4 linked regions of the Mytilus edulis genome follow. The main gene of each other region encodes a partner of the protein of the gene in region 2 in a complex. Links are inferred from orthologs where the notes say so. Each region holds a gene or a part of one and is shown on either strand. Other genes may lie near its edges.

Evidence for each region.
Region 1: trafficking protein particle complex subunit 11-like (region 2) and trafficking protein particle complex subunit 8-like share a complex: the UniProt entries of both Homo sapiens proteins name them as parts of the multisubunit TRAPP (transport protein particle) complex. The link is inferred for Mytilus edulis from reciprocal best matches to the Homo sapiens genes TRAPPC11 and TRAPPC8.
Region 3: trafficking protein particle complex subunit 11-like (region 2) and trafficking protein particle complex subunit 12-like share a complex: the UniProt entries of both Homo sapiens proteins name them as parts of the multisubunit TRAPP (transport protein particle) complex. The link is inferred for Mytilus edulis from reciprocal best matches to the Homo sapiens genes TRAPPC11 and TRAPPC12.
Region 4: trafficking protein particle complex subunit 11-like (region 2) and trafficking protein particle complex subunit 9-like share a complex: the UniProt entries of both Homo sapiens proteins name them as parts of the multisubunit TRAPP (transport protein particle) complex. The link is inferred for Mytilus edulis from reciprocal best matches to the Homo sapiens genes TRAPPC11 and TRAPPC9.

Annotation. Positions count from the first base shown.
Region 1 is NC_092348.1:42,862,542-42,870,224, reverse strand, and holds the start of trafficking protein particle complex subunit 8-like, read right to left. Parts: upstream 3,004-7,683; 5' UTR 2,894-3,003; coding exon 2,737-2,893; intron 1-2,736. UniProt on the Homo sapiens protein: Plays a role in endoplasmic reticulum to Golgi apparatus trafficking at a very early stage. Maintains together with TBC1D14 the cycling pool of ATG9 required for initiation of autophagy. Involved in collagen secretion.
Region 2 is NC_092349.1:48,629,496-48,637,263, forward strand, and holds the start of trafficking protein particle complex subunit 11-like, read left to right. Parts: upstream 1-4,758; 5' UTR 4,759-4,869; intron 4,870-7,768. UniProt on the Homo sapiens protein: Involved in endoplasmic reticulum to Golgi apparatus trafficking at a very early stage.
Region 3 is NC_092344.1:109,874,810-109,881,912, forward strand, and holds the start of trafficking protein particle complex subunit 12-like, read right to left. Parts: upstream 3,012-7,103; 5' UTR 2,919-3,011; intron 758-2,918; 5' UTR 747-757; coding exon 539-746; intron 1-538. Other genes in the region: EARP and GARP complex-interacting protein 1-like, read left to right, coding at 3,212-3,253, 4,476-4,559, 5,135-5,267, 5,962-6,106, 6,512-6,611, 6,976-7,103. UniProt on the Homo sapiens protein: Component of the TRAPP complex, which is involved in endoplasmic reticulum to Golgi apparatus trafficking at a very early stage.
Region 4 is NC_092355.1:34,285,951-34,293,109, reverse strand, and holds the start of trafficking protein particle complex subunit 9-like, read right to left. Parts: upstream 3,014-7,159; 5' UTR 2,896-3,013; exon of another isoform or gene 2,879-2,895; intron 1-2,878. Other genes in the region: uncharacterized protein, read left to right, coding at 5,608-5,719, 6,513-7,140. UniProt on the Homo sapiens protein: Functions as an activator of NF-kappa-B through increased phosphorylation of the IKK complex. May function in neuronal cells differentiation. May play a role in vesicular transport from endoplasmic reticulum to Golgi.

The sequences.
Region 1 (7,683 bases), on a different chromosome or scaffold from region 2:
CATTTATTTGACCTACAGATTTTTTTTAATAGTCTTATAATTTAAAAAATGTTTTTAAGAAAGATCTTTAACTAAATAGATTGATATAGACTACCATGCTACTAGTAGAGTAAGGTTTATTTTATTACACCTGAATAAAACAACTCTTCAGTTTTGTTCAAAATTTTAATTATAACAGATTTTGTTTTGCTTTAAATAAATGATGCAAATGACACAGAATTGTATTATGAATTATTATTCCTATAATGGTATTTTATGGAAATTTGCAGTGTGAAAAGTTACCTACAGTCTAAAGTGCTTACAACCTGCAATATGTCCTTCTCAATATTAATCTTGTAAATAGAACTTCATTGTCATACAAATACTTCAAATCTTATCATTTTGAAATTTATTAGTCTACATTGAGGTAAACAATAATTATAGTAAAAGTAAGGAATGCCTTAAAACACCAATTTTGTATACAAACACTAGTTATACATTTTTGAATATACATTTCTCTCATTGTTATTTCATTTGCATGAGGACAGTCGATTTGAAAATGTGTGTGATTACGATGATTGCCGTTATAGTTATTACTGATTTCTAATCACCTAACAGTGACCTCAAAGGAATTTACAAAAGAATGACTGGACAATGCATTGATGAGTGTATCCTAAAACACCTATGTATAGATGGACTGGTTTATTATGAGCGAACTGGATAAACTCGGCCCAGTCAAGTGAAATAAATTGAGTAATATATTTGGGTCATTCCACTAATTTTTTTCCCTTTTGTTTCAAAAATTCACTATATTGAATAAAAGTTAGTAGATATTTGAAGTGTACATAAGTCCTAATGATTGAATAAACATGAAGCATTCGTTATCAGTAGAAATAAATTTAATGATATTTTGACAATTAACAATTTGAAGGTTTTAAATGTAATCAAAATTTCCAGTTAAGATTCTACTATCAAAGTATTCAAGCCCAATAATGTCAGGAAGAATTGCCATAGAATGCACAAGTATTTCACAAGGAGAGTGTTGCAATCTTTCACTCAGTTTAATTGAGGTCTGGAGCTGGCATGTCAGGAACTGCTAGTAGCCCTTTGTTTATATATACATCATTATCATTTTTTTATAGTTTCTTTTGTTACCTATTCTAACATCAGACTGAGACTTCATGGGCTAGAGGTAAAGGGGAAGGGTTGAGGTCTCACAAAACATGTATTACCCCACCACATTTTTTAACCATTCCCAAGTCAGGAGCCTCCGGCCTTTGTTAGTCTTGTATGTTTTTTTAATGTTTTTTAAATTTTTGCCCATTTATATAGTTTGGAGTTAAATGTCACTTCTATTTTTACTGAACTTGTACTCAATTTTAAGGGGCCAGATGAAGACCATCTCCGGGTGCAGGATTTTCATGCTGCATTGCAGACCCATTGGTGGCCTTCGGCTGTTGTCTGCTCTTTGGTCAGGTTGTGGTCTCTTTGATATATTCCCTATTTCCATTTTCAATTTTACTTAATTCCTTCATTATTAGCATTATGCTACATATAATTCAAAACCCATTATAATCAAAAATTAGAACAGGGCATATTCTGTTTCATAGACAATAAATTTCCAGCCAATTCCCTTCTTCTTCTACCACTAAGTTAGTCCAAATAATTATGACGTCTTGAAAGGCTATTATAATAATTTTTTTCTTTGACGCCTTAGTGCGACGTCATAACGCCAAACTCATATTTTCCGTTGGACTTTAAGAGGGAACTTACTGCTTTATTAAAACGTTTAGCTGATTTCTCCTCAAGATGCTTCATTTTAGGAGTATAAAACATATTTTTGAACCAAACTCGGTACATTTTGACGGACCTGAATTTCCAGATAATGTTTAACAAAGGTTCCAGAAATTCGGGTCTGAGTTTGGTGTAAAAATTATTTTATAATCTCATAAAAAGAAATCAGAAAAACGTTTTAAAAAATGCAGTCGACATGTTCCCGCCTCAGATGGAACTGTTACTTATATTATTATTTTTGAAGGGATTAATTTGAAATATTTTGCACTAACAGTAACAAACACATAAAAGGTAAGAATCTTTATGTATGCAATTTTTTTTAGCTTTCAATGAAAATTTGCTGGCTCAATTGGGTCTCAAAGTTGAGAGCAAAATATGCTTTCAAAGTCCAACCGAAAATGGCGGCTTCAGCATTGAGGTCGAAGTTAGGCGTCAAAGAAAAAAATTATAATAGCCTTTCAAGACGTCATAATTATTTGGACTACCACTAAGTAACCATCATCATTAGGTTCAATTTACTGTCAATACAGTACATTTATTCAAGTAGCTGCAACTTGACAAAGTATTGGGTTAAGTATCCAACAGATAAACTGTATACCCTTCCAACTACTTCTCATCTTTGGATTTAATAATTATAAGGGCAGTCAGTTTGACAAGTGATGTATGTGTGTCACTTTCAGTTTTGAAAATTGATTTAAAATATAACGGGTAAGAAAGATACATAAAGCGTGCAGTGTGATAATTCCTTTTGCAGCTGCAGTTGTCATTGACCAACTTTTAACAGAAAAGTAATGTCATGCTGTTTTGATATTGCAAAATAATAAACATAGGGACTAAGTATGACATAAGGTCCGCCCCCTTTTACTGATTATGCTCAAGAACTTATCTAAATGAAACGGAATCATTCTTCAGAGTTAAGACAAAGCATATATAAGTGTGGTTAATATACTAAAGAAGATTCACCTTCTGACGTTAACCGGCAAAAAGGTTGAACAAGTTCCACAAATGTCAAATTATTTTTCTGACATAGGACTTCCGCATCACGGCTGCATAACACAGCAACATGTGGATTAAACGTGTTCTGCACAAACTCTTGTGCATTCTGTTTGCACTGTGCCATTATTTCTATATATTTAAGAAGTTACAAGGCTGTTATTGATCGATGAGTCGTCGTTTTTTGCTCATGACGATCTGGATTTCATCTGCCATATTTACGATCATGCGCATTATAATCTTGAAAAGGGGAGGTAAATACATTACCTATTACCGAGCTTGCAATGCAATCAATTCATAAAATTCGTCTGTATTGCTTTGATCATTGAAATTTATTAAAATACAGACACTTTGTTCAAGCAAAGTCTGACTATTCTTCTACACTTTCTGCTGTTTAAAAGCCTTTTGACTCCTTTGATCTTGTCGCAATGAAACACATCTTCAATAGTTTTAAGCCTGGTATTTTTAATATGCTGATGTTTATAATATTCAGAACAGAGTTCAGAAGTGAGTGTTGTCAGATCCTTGTATTCAAAGCATGATCATGGGATCTTTTTTTAATATATCAGATTGTGATCACTGTAATATTTGTCTGAATTGATAATTGTAATATTTGTCTGCATTGATCATTGTAATATTTGTCTGCATTGATCATTGTAATATTTGTCTGCATTGATCATTGTAATATATGTCTGCATTGATCACTGTAATATTTGTCTGCATTGATCACTTTAATATTTGTCTGCATTGATCATTGTAATATTTGCATTGATCATTGTAATATGTACTGTGTCTGCATTGATCATTGTAATATTTGTCTGCATTGATCATTGTAATATTTGTCTGCATTGATCATTGTAATATTTGTCTGCATTGATCATTGTAATATTTGTCTGCATTGATCATTGTAATATTTGTCTGCATTGATCATTGTAATATTTGTCTGCATTGATCATTGTAATATTTGTCTGCATTGATCATTGTAATATTTGTCTGCATTGGTCATTGTAATATTTGTCTGCATTGGTCATTGTAATATCTGTCTGCATTGATCATTGTAATATCTGTCTGCATTGGTCATTGTAATATTTGTCTGCATTGATCATTGTAATATTTGTCTGCATTGGTCATTGTAATATTTGTCTGCATTGATCATTGTAATATTTGTCTGCATTGATCATTGTAATATTTGTCTGCATTGATCATTGTAATATTTGTCTGCATTGGTCATTGTAATATCTGTCTGCATTGATCATTGTAATATTTGTCTGCATTGGTCATTGTAATATCTGTCTGCATTGATCATTGTAATATTTGTCTGCATTGATCATTGTAATATATGTCTGCATTGATCACTGTAATATTTGTCTGCATTGATCACTTTAATATTTGTCTGCATTGATCACTGTAATATTTGTCTGCATTGATCATTGTAATATTTGCATTGATCATTGTAATATTTGCATTGATCATTTTAATATGTACTGTGTCTGCATTGATCATTGTAATATTTGTCTGCATTGATCATTGTAATATTTGTCTGCATTGATCATTGTAATATATGTCTGCATTGATCACTGTAATATTTGTCTGCATTGATCGCTTTAATATTTGTCTGCATTGATCACTGTAATATTTGTCTGCATTGATCATTGTAATATTTGCATTGATCATTGTAATATGTACTGTGTCTGCATTGATCATTGTAATATTTGTCTGCATTGATCATTGTAATATTTGTCTGCATTGGTCATTGTAATATTTGTCTGCATTGATCATTGTAATATTTGTCTGCATTGATCATTTGTAATATTTGTCTGCATTGATCATTGTAATATTTGTCTGCATTGATCATTGTAATATTTGTCTGCATTGATCATTTGTAATATTTGTCTGCATTGGTCATTGTAATATTTGTCTGCATTGATCACTCTACCTTGATCATTGTAATAGTTGTGTGCATTGGTCATTGTAAATTACCGGTAGACTTGAATCTTGATAATTTTATTAAAAAAAACCTATTTTTTATGATCATGCTGGATGACTGTTTAATGTAAATTGAAAATAAAATGTCCTTTATCCTATTATTCTTATTAAAATGCTTAACTTCATCCCAGTTTGCACTTTGTATGCCTTAATTGATCCATGAAAGTTCTATGAAATGATGATAACATAAAAGTTTAATTTAGAAGATATGTATATCACAATTTAGATTTCCAAAATTCTGACAGATCCCCCACTTTCCTCAATAAGAGCAAGGACTTATATTAGATAGTTATATGTCATTGTTAGTTATACATCCTTGGTCAGAGTTATTGTTTATATGTCAGTTTTGGTTTCTGTTGCTATGTGAGTTACAATGGAATCATTGGAAGAAACATCATCTTCCTGATAAATATAAACTGGTATAGAACTAAGAAGAGGTTTGGGTCAAATTGATATTAAAGTAAAATGTACTTAATACACCCTCTAGTTTGCAAATGTTGAATAAATGTATTATTTATTAAATGTTGTAGTTTTGTTTAAAAATGTAAACCAATTCCTTGTCTTGTACAGCTAAAAATTACTAGTAAATGAAATTTAACCAAAATGGTGAAATTATACAAACGTTCTTAAATTAGCCTATTTTTACTAAAATTATAAAACTCTGCTGTAGAATGTCCCATTTATGAAATCAGAGACAAATTGTGTCATCAAAGCTTGAGTTTTTCTCATTGTTGAAAGCTGTATTGATGCATATAATTGCTCAGTTACTTCATCTGGGATTCGATAAATAGTTTTCCCGTGGATGATCATACCACATCTCTATGTTTTTATATTGACAAATATTTCAATTTTCTTAACTTGATTGTTTGATTGTTGATGTTTTAACGCCATTCTTTAGGGCCTCTGTGGGGCTATTTGGTTGCGGCCAGTTTTTATTAGTAGATTAAGCCGGAGTGCCTTGAGAAAACCACTGACCTTCAATAGTAAAACTGATAATCCTTGTCAATTAAGATTGGAGTCAAAATTACTTGCACAAGAAGGTTCTAAGTCACAACCTCAACGTTGACTGGTTGAGTGATTACAGAAGTAGAACTTGACATAGTTCAAGTTGAACTATTAATAATGATTGTACAGTATTTTTATTTTATTTTTTTAAACTTACATGGCCATATAAATATACCTTGTCCTTCTCAAGTAGTTTAAACAAAAATGACTTAACGATTTTAGCAGAAGATTCATATATACTAACTCTGTACAATGACTATAGTCATATGAACCAACAACTGATTAATATTCATGAAACAAACATTCTTATGTAAAAAAAAATAATTTAAATCTCGCATTATAATTGAGCAATTTTCCGTATCCAGAATCCATCAAAAAAGCTTCATAAAAAACAGTTGTAAGTATGGAAACATTGTGGTCTCTCTCACTATAAAGAGAGAGATTGCTTACTTCTAGAAATAGACATCCTAACTTCTGGACAAATTTTCTGTCACTGTCAGGAACTAACTGCTTGTTGATGAATTGATTGCTTTTTTGGTGTTGTAACACATCTTACAGCATTATACAATATCTCATAGCTGCCAGTTTGTAAATGAAATTTATCATCATATGTGGTATTAATTGAGCAACTGCCTCAGCAATAGCATGATTTACATTATTAAATTAGATTTTTACTTTTTAGGTTTAAAATTTAATTTAGATTTTTACTTTTTTCAATTACATTGTTTTCTAAAACTATGGTTGCATCTCAATTAAGCAAATTTGACCCAAAACCAGCGAGATGCATGCCACTGTCTACATTTCTGTGACATTTAATTTTATTGTAAAAAACTCCAAGTAATTGACATAAACCAGTAATCTTTGGTGACTTGCTTAACTTCATCACATTCTGTTAAATAAAGTGATCCTTTATCCTTTTCCAATGACTGGAGTCAAAAAGAACAACTCACATTTTATCAGGAAATCAAATTTTATTTATTTTTTAAATAAATATAAGAGATCATAATAAAACTATGACTACTGCTTATTAAAAACAAATGGTTGACATGCTTAATAAAATGGTTCAAATATGACAAACATTATTGCACTTTAATTAAAACTAAATGCCTAATGTGATATTTTCGACATCTATGTTATCTGAAAACGTAAACAATTACTGTTTACATTTCAACTCATTTGTTAGGCATGAATTGAACAAAGCTTTTAAAAAGCATATCTTAGATGACAGTTTGACAGTCCTACTTAGTATGAGTTTATGGGTTATATTGCTTATCAGCAATCCACCCATAAAATTTTATACATGTACATGTATCTGAAATGTTTTCTTAACTAGAGGCTCTAAAGAGCCTGTGTCGCTCACCTTGGTCTATGTGCATATTAAACAAAGGACACAAATGGATTCATGACAAAATTGTATTTTGGTGATGGTGATGTGTTTGAAGTTCTTACTTTACTGAACATTCTTGCTTCTTACAATTATATCTATAATGAACTTTGCCCATTAGTAACAGAGAAAAAAAAATTGACTATAAAGGGCAATAACTCCTTAAGGGGTCAATTGACCATTTAGGTCATGTGGACTTATTTGTAGATCTTACTTTGATGAACATTATCGCTGTTTACAGTTTACCTCTATCTATAATAATATTCAAGATAATAACCAAAAACAGCAAAATTTCCTCAAAATGACCAATTCAGGGGCAGCAACCCAACAACGGGTTGACTGATTCATCTGAAAATTTCAGGGCAGATAGATCTTGACCTGATAAACATATTTACCCCATGTCAGATTTCCTCTAAATGCTTTGGTTTTTGAGTTATAAGCCAAAAACTGCATGTTCTATTTTTAGCCGTGGCGGCCATCTTGGTTGGTTGACCGGGTCACGCCACACATTTTTCAAACTAGATACCCCAAAGATGATTGTG
Region 2 (7,768 bases):
ACAGAGCATCTGCTAACACATTGAGTTTCCCTGGGACATGACGAACTACAATCTGTAGATGAAGTTGATTGCAAAGAAGAAGGATTTCTCTTGCTAAAAGATACAGCTCGTAACAATGAGTTCCCCCTTGGTTTCGCAAATAAGCCACCACAGTGGTGTTGTCCGTTGCTAGAACCAGAGATTTGTTCTGCAGTCGGGACTGAAAATGAGACAGGGCAAGAAGCACTGCCTTCATTTCTAGTATGTTGATGTGTTCCTTCAAAAGATCTGGAGTCCACACTCCTGACACTGAAAGACCTTCCAGATAAGCTCCCCAACCGAGGTTGGAGGCATCTGTGAACAGAGTCTGATTTGGGACTGGAGAGGACAGAAGTTGGCCTCTCAAAACGTTTGCTTGAGAAGTCCACCAAACCAAATAAGGACACAATTCCTGATGAATGATTGGAACTGGAAACTCCCAATTCTGTGTAGCTGAGAGCCAATGTTGGTGTAGATAACATTGAAGAGGTCGAATGTGAAGGCGACCAAGTGGAACAACATCGGCTAGAGAATTCAAAAGACCTAGCAGTTGTGAAAACTGGCGAGCAGTGACTGTTTTTTGAGATAGAAACAGATGAATTTTTGAACAAAGATTCTGAAACTTTTCCTGAGGAGGTCGAACTATGCACTGATGAGTAAGGTAATGTTCGCCTAGGAAAATAAAGTCCTGAGACGGAATGAGGTCCGACTTTTTCCAAGAAATGAGAAACCCCAGAGAGAGCAGCAATCTGATGACTACATCTGTATTGAGATAGAGTTTCTCGGGAGAAAGTTCCTTGATCAGTGAGTCGTCCAGATAAGAATGAATCTGAATAGCCTGTGAATGAAGTTGAGCAATTGCTACCTGCATAAGTTTGGTGAAAGCTAGTGGTGCAGTTGACAGACCAAAAGGGAGAGCCCTGAACTGGTAAACCCTTTTGTTCCAAACAAACCGAAGGAATTTGCGGTATGAATGGCAAACTGGGACATGAAAATAAGCGTCCGTCAGGTCCAGGGATGTTGTCCACATACCTGGAAGAATAGAAGCTCTTATTGAACGATTGGTCTCCATTTTGAAATGGGGAATAATCATATAAGAGTTGAGGATAGACAAATCGATGACCGGTCTCATTCCTCCGGTCTTCTTCGATACAAGGAAGAGACGAGAATAGAAACCTGGATCTATTGAAGATACAGGGACTTCCTCCACTGCCCTCTTTGTCAAAAGAGTCTCTACTTCTGTTTACAGAAGAAGAAATTTCTGTGGATCTTGAGTATTGGACAGTGGGATAGGAACAGGTGAAAGAGGTAGTTGTTCTTTGAATTGAAGAGTCAATCCCCCTCGAATTACTGACAGAACCCAACAATCTGAGGTAATACTTATCCATTTTTTTAGAAAATGAGTTAACCTCCCCCCTACTGGTAATTGAGAAAGAGGAGTTTTGTAGTACATCTCTGGATTGGGTTCTGACAGTAACGAACGAGGGGGCAACTTCCTAGGAAGAGGGGTTGGCCCTCTTGCCACCTCTCTTAAAACTGTTAGGTTTAGACCTAGGGATTGAAGATTTCTTAGGTTTATTACCTCCATCATTAGTGATTTTTCTCCTCTTCTCCTGAGAATTATAAGATGAGCCTCCAGCAGAAGAATAACTACCTCGCTTAGAATTATTTCCCGAAACAGATACATTTACCTTCACTGGGACTGGAGTTTGATTGAGATGTTTCTGTACCTCATCAAGTGGTAACCCAAATATCTTCTCATCCAAAGGAGACTTGATTAAAGCATCCTTAAGATTATCTGACACCTTTGCCTTCTCCAAAATTTCAGATCTTTTGGATTAGGTGCAGTTGGCGATGGAACCCATAATCAGCAATTGGGAGGCACCCAAAGCCTTGTCTACCTGTAATAGGAAAGGTTTGACCTCTGGTGGAAGAGAAGAGTCTTTAAGAACTGGGGCAACTGCTGATAAGAAATGTTCAGCAGTGCCTAGAACATGAGAAGCGTTTCTAAGAAGATTCTCTGTTTTAGACCAAACAGACTGAGTAAGACGCAGTCCATCGGCGGGTTTAGAAGAAATAGTAGATGATAACACTTTGTCACATTTGGGTACTAGTTTGCCCAAAGTAGAGTCAAAAATTTCATAATCCTTAAAGCGGAACTGCTCAGAGAATGAGGCCAGACCGAAACCACTAACCTGGGAAAATTGGGACTCATTAGACACAATCCCATCACTAATGATCTGCAAAGAGTTGGACATATGATTAGACTGTGGAAAACTACTATGAGATTTATTATCATCTACAGGCAGACCACATGAAGCCTCAAAAGTGGAGGTTAGTTTCTTGGGTCTGGGAGGTGACTGAAAAGGCACCTTGTTGTGTATAGTATCACATTTAAACGAAACTTCAACGATCCATAAATAACTCTCAGTAAAACGTTCAAAATAGAAAACAAAAATATGATGTTATAAACCAAACTTGATTTTCGACAGATAGCAGGTTTTGGAGCACTTTGAAAACGACAACTATGTGTAACTGAGAAAACGTGAAACGAGGACTACAACAATCATGGAAACCAGACAAAACGTTTAAGATTAATACAAAATGGCAAAATATTGTACAAACAATGCATAGAAATCTAGCTATTGACAGCATTTATTTTATGAGTTTTATGAATGCTAAATACTAAAATGTATATAGTCTATATATATATCTGCATTTCAGTCTGCAAAAGTGATGCAGACGCAAAAGAAACAAGTGTTGTGTTCAGTTCGTGTCTGCAGCAGCAGCACCTTTCTAGTGCTAGACTAAAAAATAAATCCAAAAAAGGCAAGGCACTGGTTTTGTAACGCTCGTCCATCAGTTTGAAGTTGCTGGGTGTTACTTTTTGTTTCAAAACTAAAATAAATTTTTTTTTTAAGTTTTAATCAGAATATCGATTTTTTTTATGGGTTTGTATGCTTTTCTTATGTGTATATATTATGGTGTTTTTTTTAAGAAATATATTTTAGTCTACCTATCAAAGAAAAACTTACTAGTATCAATTTTGATATTTATGTTTTTCTTTTTAAATATTTATAAAATACACAAGTTAAGAGACTGACTAGTTATTCTAAAAGTAAAGAATATCAATTTAAATAATTTTTTAAAGAAGACATTTTGGTATACTGTAGACATTCCTTATTAAAGTGTATGTTTCTATATTTTTTCTATTCTTAACTGCTACACTTCTATTAAAAACTTAATTAAGACCGGCAAAATAGCAAAATTCTATGTAAATCACCATTTTGCCGGAGCCGGCAAAATAGCGCCAAGGAGACTATTTTGCCGGAGTCAGTAAAATAGCCCCTAAGAGACTATTTTGCCCGAGTCGGCTCATAGGATTGAACAGATACACAAAGTATACAGTTTACATATACATATGTACAGCATTAATGTCATAAACTATTTCTAACATATAGAGGAGTTTGACATACAATTTACATAATTGGTAATAAAGGTACATAACAAACAATCAAGTGTTACGAATTCTTTCCGTCTAATAAAGGTATTTACCCAGATTATTTAATTCCTTAGAATGTCTTGCAGATAGTATTTGAACTAATTTGGTTTTCTATAACAATATGACTTAATATATTTACTTCTGACATTTACATACTTATCACACTCTAATATAACTTCGATTACTTTCTTATCACACATAGTACAAATACGCTCATTTCTGGAAGTATCGTCCAGTTTCTACAGTAAGTTGAATCAATGTGAATCTATAGATATGATATATGTTCTAGATTCGGGCAAATACAAACCGTGATCTAAAGATAGTTATAAATATTCCTTTTATTCACTTACAATTATAGATTGGAATCATTAATAACAACAAATTCTCGCATGCAGTATAGTACACGTAACAGGGATTCAAGAGTATGATCTCAGTATCTGCTCTCATCCCATTTTTCTTCATGAACTATTATTTTTATCGGTGAAATGTATGTATAGTTTTTATATATTATTACGTTATTTTTCAACTGTACATAAATTATTTTGATTTTGTTTCTATTTTCCTGGTTACCTTGTAAATTATCAAATTTCAATCATATAGCCGATGACCAGCGAACAATCTCTAATAAATGAAGGATCACTCAGGAATAGATTAATTACCTTAGCTGTATTTGGCAAAACTTTTCAGGAATTTTTGGTCCTCAAATCTCTTCAACTTCGTACTTTATTTAGCCTTTTATAAAAAAAAATAATTCGAGCGTCACTGATGAGTCTTTTGTAGACGAATCGCGCGTCTGGCGAAATATAGAATTGTATTCCTGGTATCTATGATGAGTTTATTTGCAACCCGGCCACTTGGTCGATGCCACTCGGCTGGTGGAGATTTATTTCCTCGAGTGTATCACCAGCCCAGTAGTCAGCACTTCTGTGTTGACTTGAGTTATCATTGATATGTTTATAATTATAAATTAAATGTTAACAAAACTTTGAATTTTGGAAAAACTAAGGCTTTTCCACCTCAGGAATAGATTACCTTAGCTGTATTTGGCAAAACGTTTGAGAATTGATGGTCCTCAAATCTCTTCAACTTCGTACTTTATTTGGCCTTTTATAACATTTTTGATTCGAGTGTCACTGATGAGTCTTTTGTAGACGAAACGCGCGTCTGGCGTAAATATAAAATTTTATATTCCTGGTATCTATGATGAGTTTATTTGAAGAAAGAAGCAACTAATCCGGAATTACATATTTCACCGTTATAGATCTTCAATTAACATCGATCAGACGTTTCCGGAGAAGACGACACTCATTCCTTGAAAAAAACAACCTTTGATGTTAAGGAAAACAAGCGTAGGTTTAATGCATTACGATAATATCACAAAAAATCGATCACCAATAATTTATTTAAAATAGATGATCGTATTATATATACTCAGTCCAGTTTAGTGTGGTAAATAATCTGCATATCTGCTCCTGAAAGATGCATATTTTTTTTTACAAATTACTGTCTTCATCTGTTCATACACCACTATGCTTATGATATATATCGTCATGTCATATAAATAAATAAATAAATAAGCTTTATTTAGAGTCGGCATGGTATATAAAACATAGACAAACATAAGCTCTAATGCGCTTTTAACCGACATATGTTTTCGTATCAACCACATTTCGTTTGTTTCGACTGCACACGCATACATTGTTGTGTGTTTTTTCTGTTTTTATATTTGGAACAACAGTAATACTACGTTTACAACCTGACAAATGTTTGACATATTCAAAGTCGCTTTTTAAGACATAAGAACTAAATAAATTAAACTTACCTGTTCAGCCATTTTTATTTAATGTTAAAATTAGGCAGTGTCTGCGCGTACCCGCATGTGGGTACGAATAGTCAAATTGACATTCGTAGGCTACGCGTACCCACATCCGGTTTTATAATAAAATGCAATCAAATCGGGAATTAAACGTGAAATATATACAGAAATTATCGATAATATGGGGATTTCGAGTAGAACGAGTGAAGGGTGATAATTAAGGGTATGACAAATAATATTTTCGAATTGTATTTATAAGTTTAATAATAAAATATAATAAACCTTGCAAATTAAATGCACACTGATTGAAAATGAAATATACCACTGGTAGACCTATTTGGCAAATGACCGCGATTTTTGGCAAATCTCCGCGGAACGGATAATAAGTAGAGGTTCATCGTAAATTTTTCGTTTTATAGTATATTTTGCGGTTCTCCGGAGATTTTCCGTGTCTCAGGGAATTATCCGCGTGTCTCAGGGAATTATCCGTTTGTCCGATTAAACTGGTGTGTATTGAGTCAGTGATAGAACCAGTGATGCGTGAGCGGCGGTTATTAATAGATCGTTGTATAATCCGTTATCTGTGAGCAACGGTTATTAATAGATCGTTGTGATTATATACACTGTTTACAGTCAGATAAAGATAACCGTCTTATTACCCTTTTCAGTGGAGAAATAAAAAGCGGTGGTTTTGATATTAAAGTTACTTGCAATTTAAATATCGAATTTAGTTCAATAAAGAATAATCTATTTAAATGTGACCAATGAACAGGAAAATGCACGTGGTAACTTTGCAATACTACAAATATGTTCACCTTACAAAATTCTTCTTTATTGTCATGTTAAGATAAATCAGTTCCTGTAAAAACAGTAAAAACAGAGTCTTGATTACTGCAGATGCCGTAATCCGACATAATGTCATACTGATTTGACACTTGTCTAGTGTGAGTAACACCTGCTGTGATATTTTTGCAATACAACATGGACAAGCGGAAGGTCGTAAATCAATCTGTTGATCCGAATATAACTTTACCTGTACAGATATTTATTTATGGAGGATATCATAGATACATTTAATAAATTGTATTGTATTCAATGGAGATAATTTAAATACACAATATAATTTATTAAGACATATTTGCAGGTATACATTGAACATGTTTTCTCCAACCAAGAAGGTTTGATATTGAATGCTTTTTTTTTTTTTTTTTTTTTTTTTTTTATCTAACTTCGATCTGATCAGTCTCGTAGATTATAAACAAGTAATTCGTTTATAGTTATACATTGTTACTCTTCTAACGTCTTTTTCTTTGTGCTATTAAAAAAAACCACAATTTTCCACATCAGATCGACATTTATATATATGTCGTGTACAAGTTGTGATTTTGTACAGGTTATAACATGTACGAAAGTATTGTACATGTTATAACTTGTATAATGGAAAAATACAAGTTATAACATGTACAAAAATACCTCGTACATGTTATAACCTGTACAAAATATTGCTTAAAAATGGTTTTAACTTGTACAAATTTGAAAACTAAAAATATGCTTCCATTATTGCAACAGATGTTATTAACCTCAATATGTGTAAATGTTTGCACCTGTCCTAAGTCAGGAATCTAATGTACAGTAGTTGTCGTTTGTTTTGTTTCTTGTTTCTCGTTTTTTTATATAGATTAGACCGTTGGTTTTCCCGTTTGAATGGTTTTACACTAGTAATTTTGGGGCCCTTTATAACTTGTTGTTCGGTGTGAGCCAAGGCTCCGTGTTGAATGCTGTACATTGACCTATAATGATTTACTTTTTTAAATTGTTGTTTGGATGGAGAGTTGTCTCATTGGCACTAACACCGCATCTTCCTATATCTATTGAAGGTGTCACTGTATCGGTTATGATAACGTTCAAGGTTGAAATGGTGCACCATTGCTTAAAATCAATATATACATTGCAGGGTTAGTCTTGACAACTCATAATAATCCGGCAACCTACAAAGATTTAGCAGGAAAATGAAAGTTGATAAGATAAAAAATGAGAATAAATTTTTGACTATCCTAAGACCCTCATTAAACACCTCTCCTGTATTCCTTACTTTGTGATCATTTTAAGAGGGGCAGGACCTTTTTGGGACGTCGGGATCAGGTATTTTTAAGCTGATAGCCAGGATAGATTTCTCTACAAATAAAATTGAGAATGGAAATAGGTAATGCGTGAAAGAGACAACAATCCGACCATAGAGCTGACAACAGCCGAGGGCCACCAATACCTGCTTTCAAAGCAGAGGATATGTATATCTAAAACATCAGAATGACATTCGCCTCATGCAATGATAGCTTGCAATTTATCAAAGAAATAATAATTTGAGGTATAAATTTACACAAGTCATACTGAAGGTAAAAAATGTTGAAAGTAGATTCAAAGATATTTATAAT
Region 3 (7,103 bases), on a different chromosome or scaffold from region 2:
TAAAGACAGAACCTGATAGTCTTCATCAATTCATATTCACCAATCCATAGAAAATGTGCCTTACCTTGTAACAATGTATTAAGATGAATCAACTGTATATTTCCACAAGATTTGAATACAATTCAAGGCTGTGAAAGGTTAAAATTAAGTTAACATACATGTACATGTATGCATAATGTTACTTTGTTTAATAGTCATTTTGTTTTAAAGTGACATGAAATGAGGACACTTTTCAGGTTCATGTAAATTTAACAAGTTTGTCAAATACTTGTCTTGGTAAGATAAATGTTTATTTCATTATTTAAAGTTCACAACATGTACAATATATAATGCGAATTGGAAGTTAAATCTTGTAGTTAACTTGTAGTCAAGTTGTCTTTTAAGACTCTTTTTCTAGTATTGATTGATTGATTGTTCTTTGCTATACGCTGCATTAGCACAAAAAGGCTATATCGCGGCGAGAGCTTATTCAAATATTTTTTCTATTTTTTTCTAGTATTAAATCTCAACTCATTTTAAAATTACTATTCAATATAACCTTTAACTAAATCTGGTATGGCCGTAATAATATCTTGAACATCTTCCTCAACTGCTGTTGGTTCTAGATAAACAGAATCTAAAGTATCTGTTGTAGCAGAGTGTCTAAGAGTTGTCCCCCTTATAACTACATCAGGATTCTGGAGGTGGAATTCTTTTTCTGATAAAGATTCATCTTCTAAAAATTCTTCAACATTATCATCAGCCATTATCTACTTTACTGAAATGAATGTTTTGTGTTTAAATAATTACATGTAATATATTATTCAAATGTGTGTGTCATGATCAATAATGTAGAATTTACAAAAAATGTAGATGTTCAGCTAAACAATTTAAACTTTTGTAATGTTAATGAGCTCACTGACAGATTAGAACTAAATAGTTAAAATATCTTAAGAAATTGTACCGCTGCAATACAAAATGTGTAAAAATAAATTGATAAATTGATAAATATTGATAAATATCGTCATTAAAGCACAAAACTCTAAATAAGAGTTCACTTACCATTTCAACATTAAAGGGGCACTAGCTGTCAAATTCATGTTCACCGATTTTAATCAAATTCTCATGTTTAATTTATAACAATGTAAAACATTTATACAAAATATCAAAAGTCTAAAATAAACAATTAACAGGGCACCGCATGAAAATATGTAGCTTCATTTCGTGTGTATTTTAGTCTAAACGCCATCTAATTAATTGTCGAGTTGACCCCTAAAGTCATCCGTCCCGATGACCATATAAGCAATGTAAACATAAATATAGATATAAATAAATTAAGCAAACTCCTGCTATTCGGATTATTCTAGATCTATTTAATTTTATATTATACAATATACAAATTACATTCCATTAATGATTGAGCATAAGATATAATACATTTGATTTTTTATCAATCTCGTAGCTAGTGCCCCTTTAAGGAAAAACTCAACAAAAAATGTAAAATTGTTATTAATGGGCAATTTCTTAAAGAGTCGCCAGATGATTTCCTTGCTAAAAACCTTCTTGTAGATCTTGTTTTGCTCATCAAGTTTGCTTTATGAATAAATTTCCATCTTTCTATTATCATTTTTAACTTATTAGGCAAAAATGAGTAAAGATAATTATTAAATGACAAAAAAATCAATAAGGAGTCTTCAGACGATATCGACAAGATGTTTCGAGATATTTGAGATTTAAAATATGGCGGGAAAAGGCTGACTCAGACTTTTACCTTATATTTGCATTGGTATTATTTGGGTCTCAAAACAAAAGAAAGAAAATTAAGAATCTTCTAAAATGTTGGTAAATGACCTTTCATGAGCTATTAAGTCTTATATGAAAAAATAAATGGGTGTTATGGGGCAAAATATTTTACATTGTATTGTATGGAAAAACACCAAGGAGTCTGAACATTTGACAAAAATCCAAAACCTCACCTAAGTACATCCTTAATATTGATTTACTTATAGGGTCTTTGCATCGGAACTAAAGTAAACACATTTATTTTTAAAAAACAGTTGTTGGCATGACACGGGTTATGTTCTTCTCATATATTTCATGATAGTATGATACTGCTAATAGTTTGTTGTTATTTATGTATTATTGTCATTTTATTTATTTTCTTTTGTTACATCTTCTGACATCCGACTCAGACTTCTCTTGAACTGAATTTTAATGTGTGTATTGTTATGCTTTTACTTTTCTACATTGGCTAGAGGTATAGGGGAGGGTTGAGATCTCATAAACATGTTTAACACCGCTGCAATTTTGCACCTGTCCCAAGTCAGGAGCCTCTGGCCTTTGTTAATCTTGTATGATTTTTAATCTTAGTTTCTTGTGTATAATTGGAGTTTAGTATGACGTCCATTATCACTGTACTAGTATACATATTTTTTTAAGGGGCCAGCTGAAAGACGCTTACGGGTGCGGGAGTTTCTCGCTACATTGAAGACCCATTGGTGGCCTTCGGCTGTTGTCTGCTCTATGGTGGGTCTCATTGGGGTCTAAGCGTGACGTGGAATTGCCGATTTTTTTGTAAACGTGACGTCACAGGGGAAAGTCAATTATTGTGCCATGAAAACTAGAATTAAGGTCTAGCGGGATACGGGAAATTAACAAAAAAATGAGAATCGCTTAGGTACATAGTATAAGCAGGATACGGGAATCTGACAAAACAGTAAGCGGGATCTGGGATCAGACAGCCCAAATGAGACCCCTCTATGGTCGGGTTGTCAGGTTGTCGCTTTGACATTCACCATTTTCCATTCTTACTATTTGTCATTATATAATTTCAGACTCCAATGTTAATGGGGTATGAAAGGATAAGCATACAGGACATTCTGTCATAGACGTTAGGGGCAAACAGTATATATAAAAGAAAAGGGTAAATTGAAATCAACCTGCTAATTTTTTCGACGAACGGACACTGTGCTGTGTATACGTCATCAAATTATGTGTAGAATGTCATAAAAAATAATTTCATGAATGGAATAAAAAAGAGTATTGAAACAGATTACATTGCCATCAAATACATTTTGTCTGGCATTAGCTACAGTTATTTGTTTTAAAATAATAATTAAATAATTTTATGTTTTACTTTTTACGACTGCCGAAAATTGACTTAGGCTACTGGTTTCCGTTTCCCCCCATCCCCTGTCCGACAGAAATAATTTTAGGGACCAGACACACAGATATGGACGACGAATCGCCGGTTATTTATGGGCTAGAATTTCAGGTTATCTCCGTTATATTTGATAAAAACTGTTAAAAAATGCTTTTCCTGGAAGATAACCATAATGTCAGCTTCTCATACTAATTGGTTTTGTAAGGCATCAATCGCTTTAGAACTCGTCCCAAATTAGTCCAAATAATAAATTATATGAATATGACATCTTGCAAGGCTATTATATTTTTTTCTTTCAAAGCAAAAAAGCCTTCCAAGACGTTATAAATATTTTGACTAGTCCCAAATATAAATTGGATAGTTGCCCGTCCAAAATGGATGCACTGCTTCTTTGCACCTGGAGCCGACTGACGTCCTTGAGTCTATATAAATCGGGTCTCAAGAATTTTTTTCATTTCTAATCCATGATTCATTTATGTAAGTTTCATCTACCTGCCATCCTTTATTTTTTCATAATATGAGGCAGGCATAACCTGTGAATGGGGACGAAAATGTTAAAATAAGAGATTTGACCCCGATTTCATGGTCCACTGTACATGTTCTATGGACACATTCTAGTTTGCATATGGATAGGACAATACACCTTATCGCTAATCCCGGCTGACCTGGCCGCTTGAACTTTTGACGCATACAACAATCACTTTTTAATTGTGGCATCAGCCATTTTGTTTTATGACGTCATAATTTTACAGGAACCTGTGTGATATCCAGTAATGGCGGACAAATAGCGATAAGGTGTATATAAGTTCATACATGCAAGTGCCCACAAAAAATTTATATATGCAATGATAGTTACAAATAGTATAAATATAACATTAAACAAATGGTATTCAAAGAATACAAAAAAAGTTAAAAACAAAAACTTTAGATCCAAACCACAAATCTAAGAAATAGAAAACAACTTGTAAATATATATTGCTATTAGCAAAGGCCATCAGCAGGTTTCAATGCCTGAATTCAGAGTTAGAGCACAGGTGTAAGAAGATTTTACAGGTAAGACAGTATTTTTTTAGCGGGAAGTAGAGAGCATGTTAGTAATAAGGTGTGCTTGATTTGGAGTTGTCATTCGTCAATGTAATATGATAATCAGTACAAATGATGAACATGACACATGAAATATGATATGAGTACATGTTTAACATGTAAAAGCTTAATAACAATATTAAACATAAAGAAATAGTGCATGCAGTCGCAGTGACACAATTATTATTTGTATAACTCTTCTATAAATTTAAGTTATTAATAGAATGATATTTTTTTTATCATTCAACAGGCCAAAGCATTAACTGCACAAACAGGAGAAACTGATAAGATCAGGTTTCTTGTTGGAACTCAGTCTTTACGAGTAGAAAATCAGGTAAATCAGCAGGAACAAAATTCTTCATTAAACATGAATCATTATTTAAATATCTTGACACATTGTATTATTATTGAAACCTTAATATACTGAATTGGGCAAAGAAATAATTTTGATAAGCATGATTATTTTTCACTACCTTTGTTCTATCCTATGTCTTTGTTTCATTTTCTATTGCTTACTTGGTCAAATATGATGAGATGCCTGATGGGTTCTGGTACACTTGAGGTTATAAAATCTGTGCTAATCAGTTAAAACTTAATAACACTATAAAAATAAGGAGATGTGGTATGATTGCCAATGAGACAACTATCCACCAAAGTTCAAATGAAGTGGATATCAGCAATTATAGAATGTATAGGCAACCATAAGGCCTTTAAAAATGAGACTTCTATTCTACATGTCTGTATAACAACAGATATGATACCTAAAGATTCTGTCAGTTTTATAATTATGCATAACCTCACTGGAAAACCTAATTTTCAGTATAACCTGATACATGTGTGAAGTCTAATTGAGTTTTGAATGATATCCCATCAGGAAAAAAATGATTCTGATGTTATTTTATTTTCCAGATTCATCACATTGATTTTGATGATGAAAACAACATCATTAACAAAAACATTTACCTACATCCTGAAGGAGAGATCTGGAATATTAAGGCCTCAACCATTGATAAAGACTTAATGACAACATGTTACAATAAAAGTAAATTTAAGTTAAGCTAAATATTTGGAATGGGTAAACCGTATTAAAGGGGCACATAACAAGCATCTAATCAAATTGACAAAGAACCTTAATCCCTGAAGTCATCAAAATAAAATAAAATGACTGTATATAATAAAAAAGTAAGTTGATTAGATTTTTTTTTTACCATCCTGCCTCTTATTTCAGATCTTGGACATGACTGGTATACATGTATCGCATAGAAACTAAAATTAAAAAAATACAAAATCACCATCAAGGACAACCTAGTCATCTGTTTCTTTATAAAATTACAGATAAATAAAGAGTTAACTAAATTGTATTTGAAATATTAGTAAACAATAACTAAGATGATGATTATACCTGTACATCATCATTCAATGGTATAAACACCTCAGTGAGTACTAAGTAGTAGAATTCTTGCTTTGAGTGTGGAAGGTCCTCAGTTCAATCCCAAGTCACAGCAAATCAAAGGCTTGAAAATTCATATTTGCTGCTTGTCTGATAAGTACACAGCAGTTAGCAGTAAGAGCAAATACTGGTTTGCTCAGAGTCAGAATATGTCTACGTAGGATAACACATCCTTTTACAGACTTGTGAACTAGTATGTTGAAAATTAAATTTAAAAGTTCTGTATGTCATTTTAGTATCAAGCAGTGTTTATATTCATAATACATTAATATGTTTTTATCTGCAGCATCAGAATCAAAGACAGAAATGAAGGCAGCTATTTGGAGACTACCATCTGATTTTGATAGTGGTCAAGCAGATGACCAGTCAGCACATCCAGCTGTGCGATTGGTCTGTCACCTGAATAACTCAGAATATGGTGACATGAAAAGGTCTGTTTATAATTTTGTGCATGTTTTAATCAGAGGTAAATCATGAATGTATTAAACCAGTCACAGAAAAGTTAGAAAAAAAGCATTATAAATAATATTCATGTTCAAACTCACAGATTGTGTGTGTCTGTCTAGCTCAATAAACTCATCATATATAGATACCAGGATTGGAATATCAAATGCACATTTTGTATTCCTCACGTTTAAATAATAACACAAAAAAAAGGCCTCACAAAGTTCCAAAAAAGCAGAGTAAACATTCAAATCACTTTAACATTTTCTTGTCCTGAATATATACATTTAAATTGCTTGTGAAATGTAAAAGAATCATCAGCCTCTTTTTCAAATGTTATATCTGAGCTGGTATTTACTTACATGAAATCAACAATATCCTACTTTTTACAGTGTTTTATGGCACCCAACCGGAGATACTTCAGCTGTGATAGGCTTTGCAGATAACCATATAGTATTGTGGGATATTGACACATCTTCAAGCACTGCAAAGGTACTTATTTCAACCCTTCTTTCAATTGTGGTAAAATAATCTGTCAGAACTTTTTTTTAAACAAAAACTAAACTGTGTTATCATCTGACATCATACATTAACAGCATAATCTAATATTTCTATATTTTGTCTTGCAACTGATATTTATTTTTCTTATGCAAAATCACACCAGGATCAGAATTACCTCCCTTTGTCTTGCTACTTGTAAAGTCTTTGGAATTTCCAATTTTACAGTTAATAAATTACATTTTTTAGTGATCTAAACTTTGCAAAAAAAAGCAAGTATGATTTAATTGTATAAAATGAACAATATTTTTTCATACCCTGAAAATGTGTAAGTATTGCATTCAAAATCTGTTAACAGATGACAGCTTCCACAGGATTAGATAGTAAAGGTAACTCCAAATTCACCTGTGGTCAATGGAATCCTCATCATAATTGTACACAGATAGCCACTGCAAATGACACACACATACGAGGATGGGACATTAG
Region 4 (7,159 bases), on a different chromosome or scaffold from region 2:
TGTTTTTGATGAGGCAGGGATTGGATACTACAATTTTTTCTCATACTGCTTTTACACATTGAATCATGATTATACTTTAGACCATGCACACAAATCATGTAAATCATGTTGATGATAAATTGACCGAGATAAACTAGCACAATTTGTAATAATTATAAACAAGGAATTTAAAAAAAATTTAGCCATTTCTTGGTAAATTGATAGTCCCTTTTGAATCAATAATTGTTCTATACCATACAGTCAGCATGGTCAGGGGTTATATTTCTAATAATATTTGCCTATTTTTCTTACATTAAAAAGTCGGAATTATCTCCCCTTACATTGTATCTTTCTTCTGTCCTTAGATAACTTGACATGTATAATAATTTTTGTGCATGACCACTGAAATTCTTAAGTTATTTGATTGGTCAATTTATGTCTTAATTTGAATTTGGAGTTTTATATCCTAAGAACTGTTATTTATATATATTTAATGTGTTTTCTTTAATTTAGTATTTTTACCACAAATCAGGCAGTTGTTTTCATAACTTGATTTTTCAAAATTTTGTCATCTCTGTTCCTCTTTATAGCTTGATCATGTTGTCAAACAGTGACCTATTATTATTAACATATAAATCATTTGAACACTGGAGGATGGTAATGTTTTACATGTTTTATTCATGGCAATCATACCAAATTTCATAATTTTAAATGATGAGGCCAAATAAAATAGTATGTGTGGTTCCAGTTACATCTGAAAAAAAGTTAGGGTAGGTCATGTAGGTAGGTAGGGATTATTTTTATTTTATGGTGTTTTTTTTTACATTGAGTCTATGGAAGCATCATTCTGACTTTAACAGTGCTTAATGAAAAATGACAATAAAATCTTTCGGGTACATGTAGGCTAATTTCAAGACGAAAAAGTAGGGAGGGTAGGGTCACTGGAACCACACATATATTTTTATTTGGCCTGATCTGTTGGAAAAGAGTCTGACCTCTATCCATGATATCACTGAGAATGCATCAGAGTGGTATCACCTCTGAACAACTAACTCATTTTTGTAACTCAAAATATGTGTGCCACCTCCCCTTTGCACATTCACCTCTTTTTCAAAACTGATCCATAGGCTAATACGTACAGACAGGTCCTCATTTTATAAATTATCTTTAACAATTTTCTCCTTGCGCAATACAATATATATATGTTTACCCCAAAATCCCCTCTGAATTCGTTTGTTAAAGGAAAGATCTTACATCATGTATACATACATGTATCTTTATGAATATACCCCATTTCCATTCTCAATTTTATGTACCTGCCAACTTTTCAAAATGTTCATGGGTGTTTTACGTGCAAGATGGCTCTTACCGTCTTAAAAAAACTTCAAGGGGATCTTCAAATGTACATGTATCTTATTGTTGTTTTTTGGCTTATTCATACTTTTTAAAGCATTGTAAAATTAACTGTTTTGTTTAAAATTTTGGACAAAATTGCTCTTTTAAAATATCTATTTGGGAGCTTTCATCGGAGAAATCCAATGCAAATAGTGACAGTTGGCAGGTATGATCTTAATGGAAAACAGAATAAAGGATTGCATCCTATCAATATTAAGGAAGCTGGCTTGTCATGTTTTAGATTTTTTGTCAGATTTTCAGAATCCTCTGGTTTTATCCATTTGAATGCCTTGAAAAAATTTGCCAGGTGACCCCCATTTTTCTTTTTGTAAATCTTTTACATGTATAATCATTGATAATGATAAGCCATCTGTTAAATTCTTATAAAATTTTAATTACTTTTTAACAATTTTTGAGAACTTCAACTTGTCAATGATAAAGCTATGAAAAGTCAAGAGAGAATATTTTCCCGCCAAAATTTCAATGGCTTATATTTTGAAAACAAGCACGGTGACCTATGTATTTTTTTTGCTCTTTGGATTCCTTTATTAATCCCCTATCTATACATGCTATACATTTGCTATATAAACTAGTGTTTTGAAAAGTTAATTACTCAAAGAACAACTTGTATTTACACAGACCTGCGTTAAACTTGTAGATTTATGAAAGGTACCACATCTGAGGTCAGCAGATATATGCATGATAATGAAACGGAACAGGTATATTAATAAAGATACTGAGCAGTTACATACATAGGTATAGGTATATGAGTATTCATAAAGATACAGAGCAGGTTCATTCATAAAGATATGGAGCAGGTTTATTCATAGATACATAGCAGGTATCTGCATAAAGATATGGAGCAGTTATAATCATAAAGATATGGACTGGAGCAGGTATGTTTATAAAGATACAGAACAGTTATATACATAGGCAAAGAGTAAACAGAAAAATACAGAGCAGGTTCACATGGTATATTCATAGGGGGGTCTCATTGGGGGGTTCTGATCCCGGATCCCACTTACTGTTTTGTCAGATTCCTGTATCCCACTTACACTATGTACGTAAGCAATTCTCATTTTTTTTGCAATTTCCCTTGTCCCGCTAAACTTCATTTCCAGTTTTCACACACAATAATTTGACTTTCGCGAGTCATGCTTACAAAATATCGGCAATACCGTGTCACGCTTAGACCCCAATGAGACCCATATGCATTTCATAAAGATACGGGGCAGGTATGTTCATAAATACACGGAGCAGGTATAATCAGAAGGATCATGGAGCAGGTATATTCATAAAGATATAGCGCAGGTATAGGTATAAAGGTTGTTAAGCAGATCTATATATACATCAAAGTGAAATTAATAATAACTTAAATTTGTTTGATTTCCACCTATAAAATTTGACAAATGTCTCATTTGATATGTCTGATTTTGTCAGACGAACAGGGGTTTTATCTGATTATTCTACAAGTTCAAAACTCAACTAAGTGAGTCATCATTACTTTATCAACTGACATACATGGAACATATTAAGAATTGTCGTCAGCTACGTTTCATTTCTGCAAAATATCAGGATCAAACTCAAAGTCTCGCCTCCTCTCGTGAGACAGCCATTTTCCGTAACGTGTCCGGGGTTTACTATTTTGACAGTACTTCCGGTGACAATTTTCTCTGTTTATTTTTTCTCTGATACAAAGTATGGCCATATATGCATTTTGCTCACATTCACAATGACTAAAAAAAAACATTTATTCCCACCAAAGTTGTTTTCAGGAAATGAATTTTCTTGAAATGTTTTACCCAGATAGATCAGTCGTACGTGTGCCAAATTAGGAGCACGATTTTCCTACCCTTCCGGAGCACCTGAGATCATGTACCCCTTTATCTAATCAATATGACAATGACTCTAAATATACTTACCACTACAAAACACCAGCAACAGTCCTAAAACTTATTTGTACATAAAGCGATTTTTAAACCTTCATACCTTAAAACCTAAATGTGTCAGTAAAACCATCTAGCTGCGGAACCGTATCTTTTAATAGTTTTATGGTCCTTTCTATATATCTTTTTTTATTTTGCGGATAGTCCACAAATAGAGAAAAAAAAATATAAGGACATGAGAGCTACGGTTCCTGTAGGTATAAAACAACCTTACCCAAGTACCCCGAAATTTAACTAAAATAAAAAAGGCCAATTTAATTTTTTGCTGTGATACATTCTTGAAATGTGTACAATTTGTGTACAATCTTGTGTACAATTTGGAAATTAGTATGGCGTTCATTATCACTGGACTAGTATATATTTGTTTAGGGGCCAGCTGAAGGACGCCTCCGGGTGCCGGAATTTCTCACTACATTGAAGACCTGTTGGTGACCCTCTGCTGTTGTTTTTTATTTGGTCGGGTTGTTGTCTCTTTGACACATTCCCCATTTCCATTCTCAATTTTATTGATGTCAGAGTTAAACAGTCATTCTCATCTTACGCTAGTGTCAAATTGGTAAAAAAATAAATAAAGTGATATATCAAAATATCCATTATATCGCTATTTGTCGGAGCAGGAACATATACATTGTATATTGAAGAGACTTGACACTACATGTAGTTACCTAATATTAGCCGATTTCATTAACAAGTCATAGTTAATCAATAACACCATACAGAAACCGACATCTGTAAAATATGTTCTCGCATTGACTAATTACTACTGATTTCATTAAATGCCAGTGCACCTAAATTGCATTCTGTCACATCAAAATTGTCATAATTCACATTAATTTCATCACAGAAGAGTACAAAATGCAAAAAGGGTAATAATAAAATGGCGCTGATGGCACTTTACATCAAAGAAATCACATGTATATTGGTAATTTTATACATGTATGACAAAATATACCTACATTAGAATGATTAGAATAAAATTTATATTTGTTGAGTTTGTTTTAATATGGATAATTTATTGAGCAATCTCAATGCTTTTGCAGTGTGATGCTTCAAAAATCTATTAATCTAGTAAAGTTTCATGTAGCTCGGTACTTTATTAATTTTATACTGAAAAGCCTTTATGCATGATCAGAATCATTTCCCTTAGATATACTGATCCCAGGTCAGAGGTCTCAAATAATTATTTGATTGTGATTTGTCAAAATCAGTTGATTTTTGTTATCAAGCATGTCAAGTAGAAAATGTATATTTTAGCAAAATGCACTAAATATTACCGTTGACATGGTTAACATCCTTTGGTAAGATTTTTTACCGATATTTTTCATGAATTGCAAAGGTACCCTTCTTCATCAAGGTTCCTTTATTACAACCCACCTTGCTATGACGCCTTCAAATAAATTCAGAATGGAAAAGGGGAATGTGTCAAAGAGACAACAACCCGACCATAGAACAGACAACAGCAGAAAGTCACCAACAGGTCTTCAATGCAGCGAGAAATTCCCGCACCCGGAAGCGTCCTTCAGCTGTTTGTCTTTCTTGCTGTGACACCTTCCTACTATGTCTTAAGCGTCCAAGCTTGTTTTTAAAACATGTTGAATAAACAAAGACAATCAACATCGACATTACAGTATTTTGAAATTTAAACCTGAAAGTTTTCAAAACATAGACTAAGGAGATGTATGAATCCTCGTATGATTGCCAATGAGACCTCTATCCACCTGGCAGCATGACCAGAAAACAAATGAGTAGATATAAGGTACACATGTACATGTACTGTAGGTCAGTGAATATATAGTCATTAATGATAAGTCAAACCCATACTAATTTGCAGGTTTCAAAAGGTGACCTATACATGTAGTTGTTAATTTCTGTGTCATCTGGTCTCTTGCGTAGAGTTGTCTCATTGGCAATATATCACATCTTTTTTTTTAAATTTCACATACATGACATAACAAAACGGAAAACAATTGAAATGAGAAAAACAACAAAAGCCTGATTTACGTACAAAACCAAAAAAACTTCAAACAAAAATAAATATATATATGATAAACATGTATGGTAACAAACAACAACCACTGAATAACAGGCTTCTGACTTGGAAAGTTTTGTGGCACAATCAATTAATTTGTTTAAATATTACATGTATTGGACATCTAGACATTACTGATAACTTTTAAATCACAAATTGCACTCTAATGAAGCAAATTTATGACATAACGCCATATTTCTATCCTTATTTTTGTAGCTATTGTCATGATTGTATAATGTTTCTAATTTATTTTTTAGAATGGATGGAAATGAGAATCATTTAATAGTTAATTTCACTATGGACAGCTCAAATATTATGAACAGTATTAATGGTGACGATAGTAATTCCACAACAGAAAATCTCCATTCTGGTAAAGATAGTTACCATGGTTACTTTTTATTGTGTTAGTAGGACGAGTCCTCAAACACATTCCTTTTTCTTAAGGTGGTACCCAACACTTTCACTAAAATTGATTTGACATGTTTAATTTTCATAAAATTTTGTCAAAGTACAAATGTATTTACTTTGACCCTTTAACAAAAATATAAAAATTTCAAAGATTTTGAACCAACCGTTTTGTCAGAAAAATTACACTGGTTATATAGCAGTTTGACATACACCAATTTTGATCATTGAGAAGCTTAATATTCCCTTTACAACACAACGTAATTAAAACGTTAAGCTGACTTTATAGAGTTATCTCCCTGTAGTGTTAGGTACCACCTTAATTTGCATATATTTTCTTGCTATACACACTGAGAGACAGATGATAAACAATGACAACATAATTTTGTAAACGTTTATACATTCATAAAATTGAAATCTTTTGAAATTTTAACTCTTACCATGTTTACAATAACTCAAATAATTCACTCCCTCTCCCATGTCCCTGTTAGATTTTCTCGTTCAAAAATGCAGCCATCATTGACATAGAGCAGCTGAATATAATGACTAACTTACACAGTTTATCTTGACAATAAATAAATTTGGGCTTTCAATGCTTTTATAACTTGTTACTAAATATCTGCATTTTTAAATTTCTTTTTTTAGAGCATTGCTGAGATGAACATGCTTCTGGCGTGAAAAATTTCAATCTTGGTATCTAGGACGAGTTAATAATGATAATCAATTTGAACAAAACTGATGACTGTCTTTTTTTGTAGGAATAGGTCGGGAAACACATGTAACTTATTTAATTTCTGGAGAAACACAGCATAATATTTTACCTGTAAAGTCTTGTGAACAGTCAAACATTTCCATTATGTCTGATGTAGATGTTAATTCTATTCCTGAAGATGCTGTTGTCATAGCAACAACAGATGGAGATATTAAAGAACATGTGATCGCTTTGCCAACAGAAAACACAATTGATGGCAATGAAAATACTGTTGCCATGGCAATAACAGACAATGACCTTAAACATAAGGTTATTTTGCCTGCAGACATTGATGACATTGGTACACAAGTCATAACAATTCCTATGGATATGTTGCAATATATGGATGGGAATGAAGGGCATGTCATCACCATACCAACAGAATATACCTCTTTAACTGAAAGTGAACATCAACAGGTCATCACCATGCCAACAGAATATGCAACTACGAATGGCTCTGGACATTTTGAATATGCAGTTAAAAATGAAGATGACCTTGGACAGGTCATCACCATACCAACAGATTCTGTTACTGAGGTTGACCTTGAAAAACTCATATCCATGCAAGGTGAAGGATCAGAAATGGAATCTCAGCCTCATATCATATATGTTTTGTCAAAAAATGAATCAGAAGTGTAAGTCTTTTGCAATATA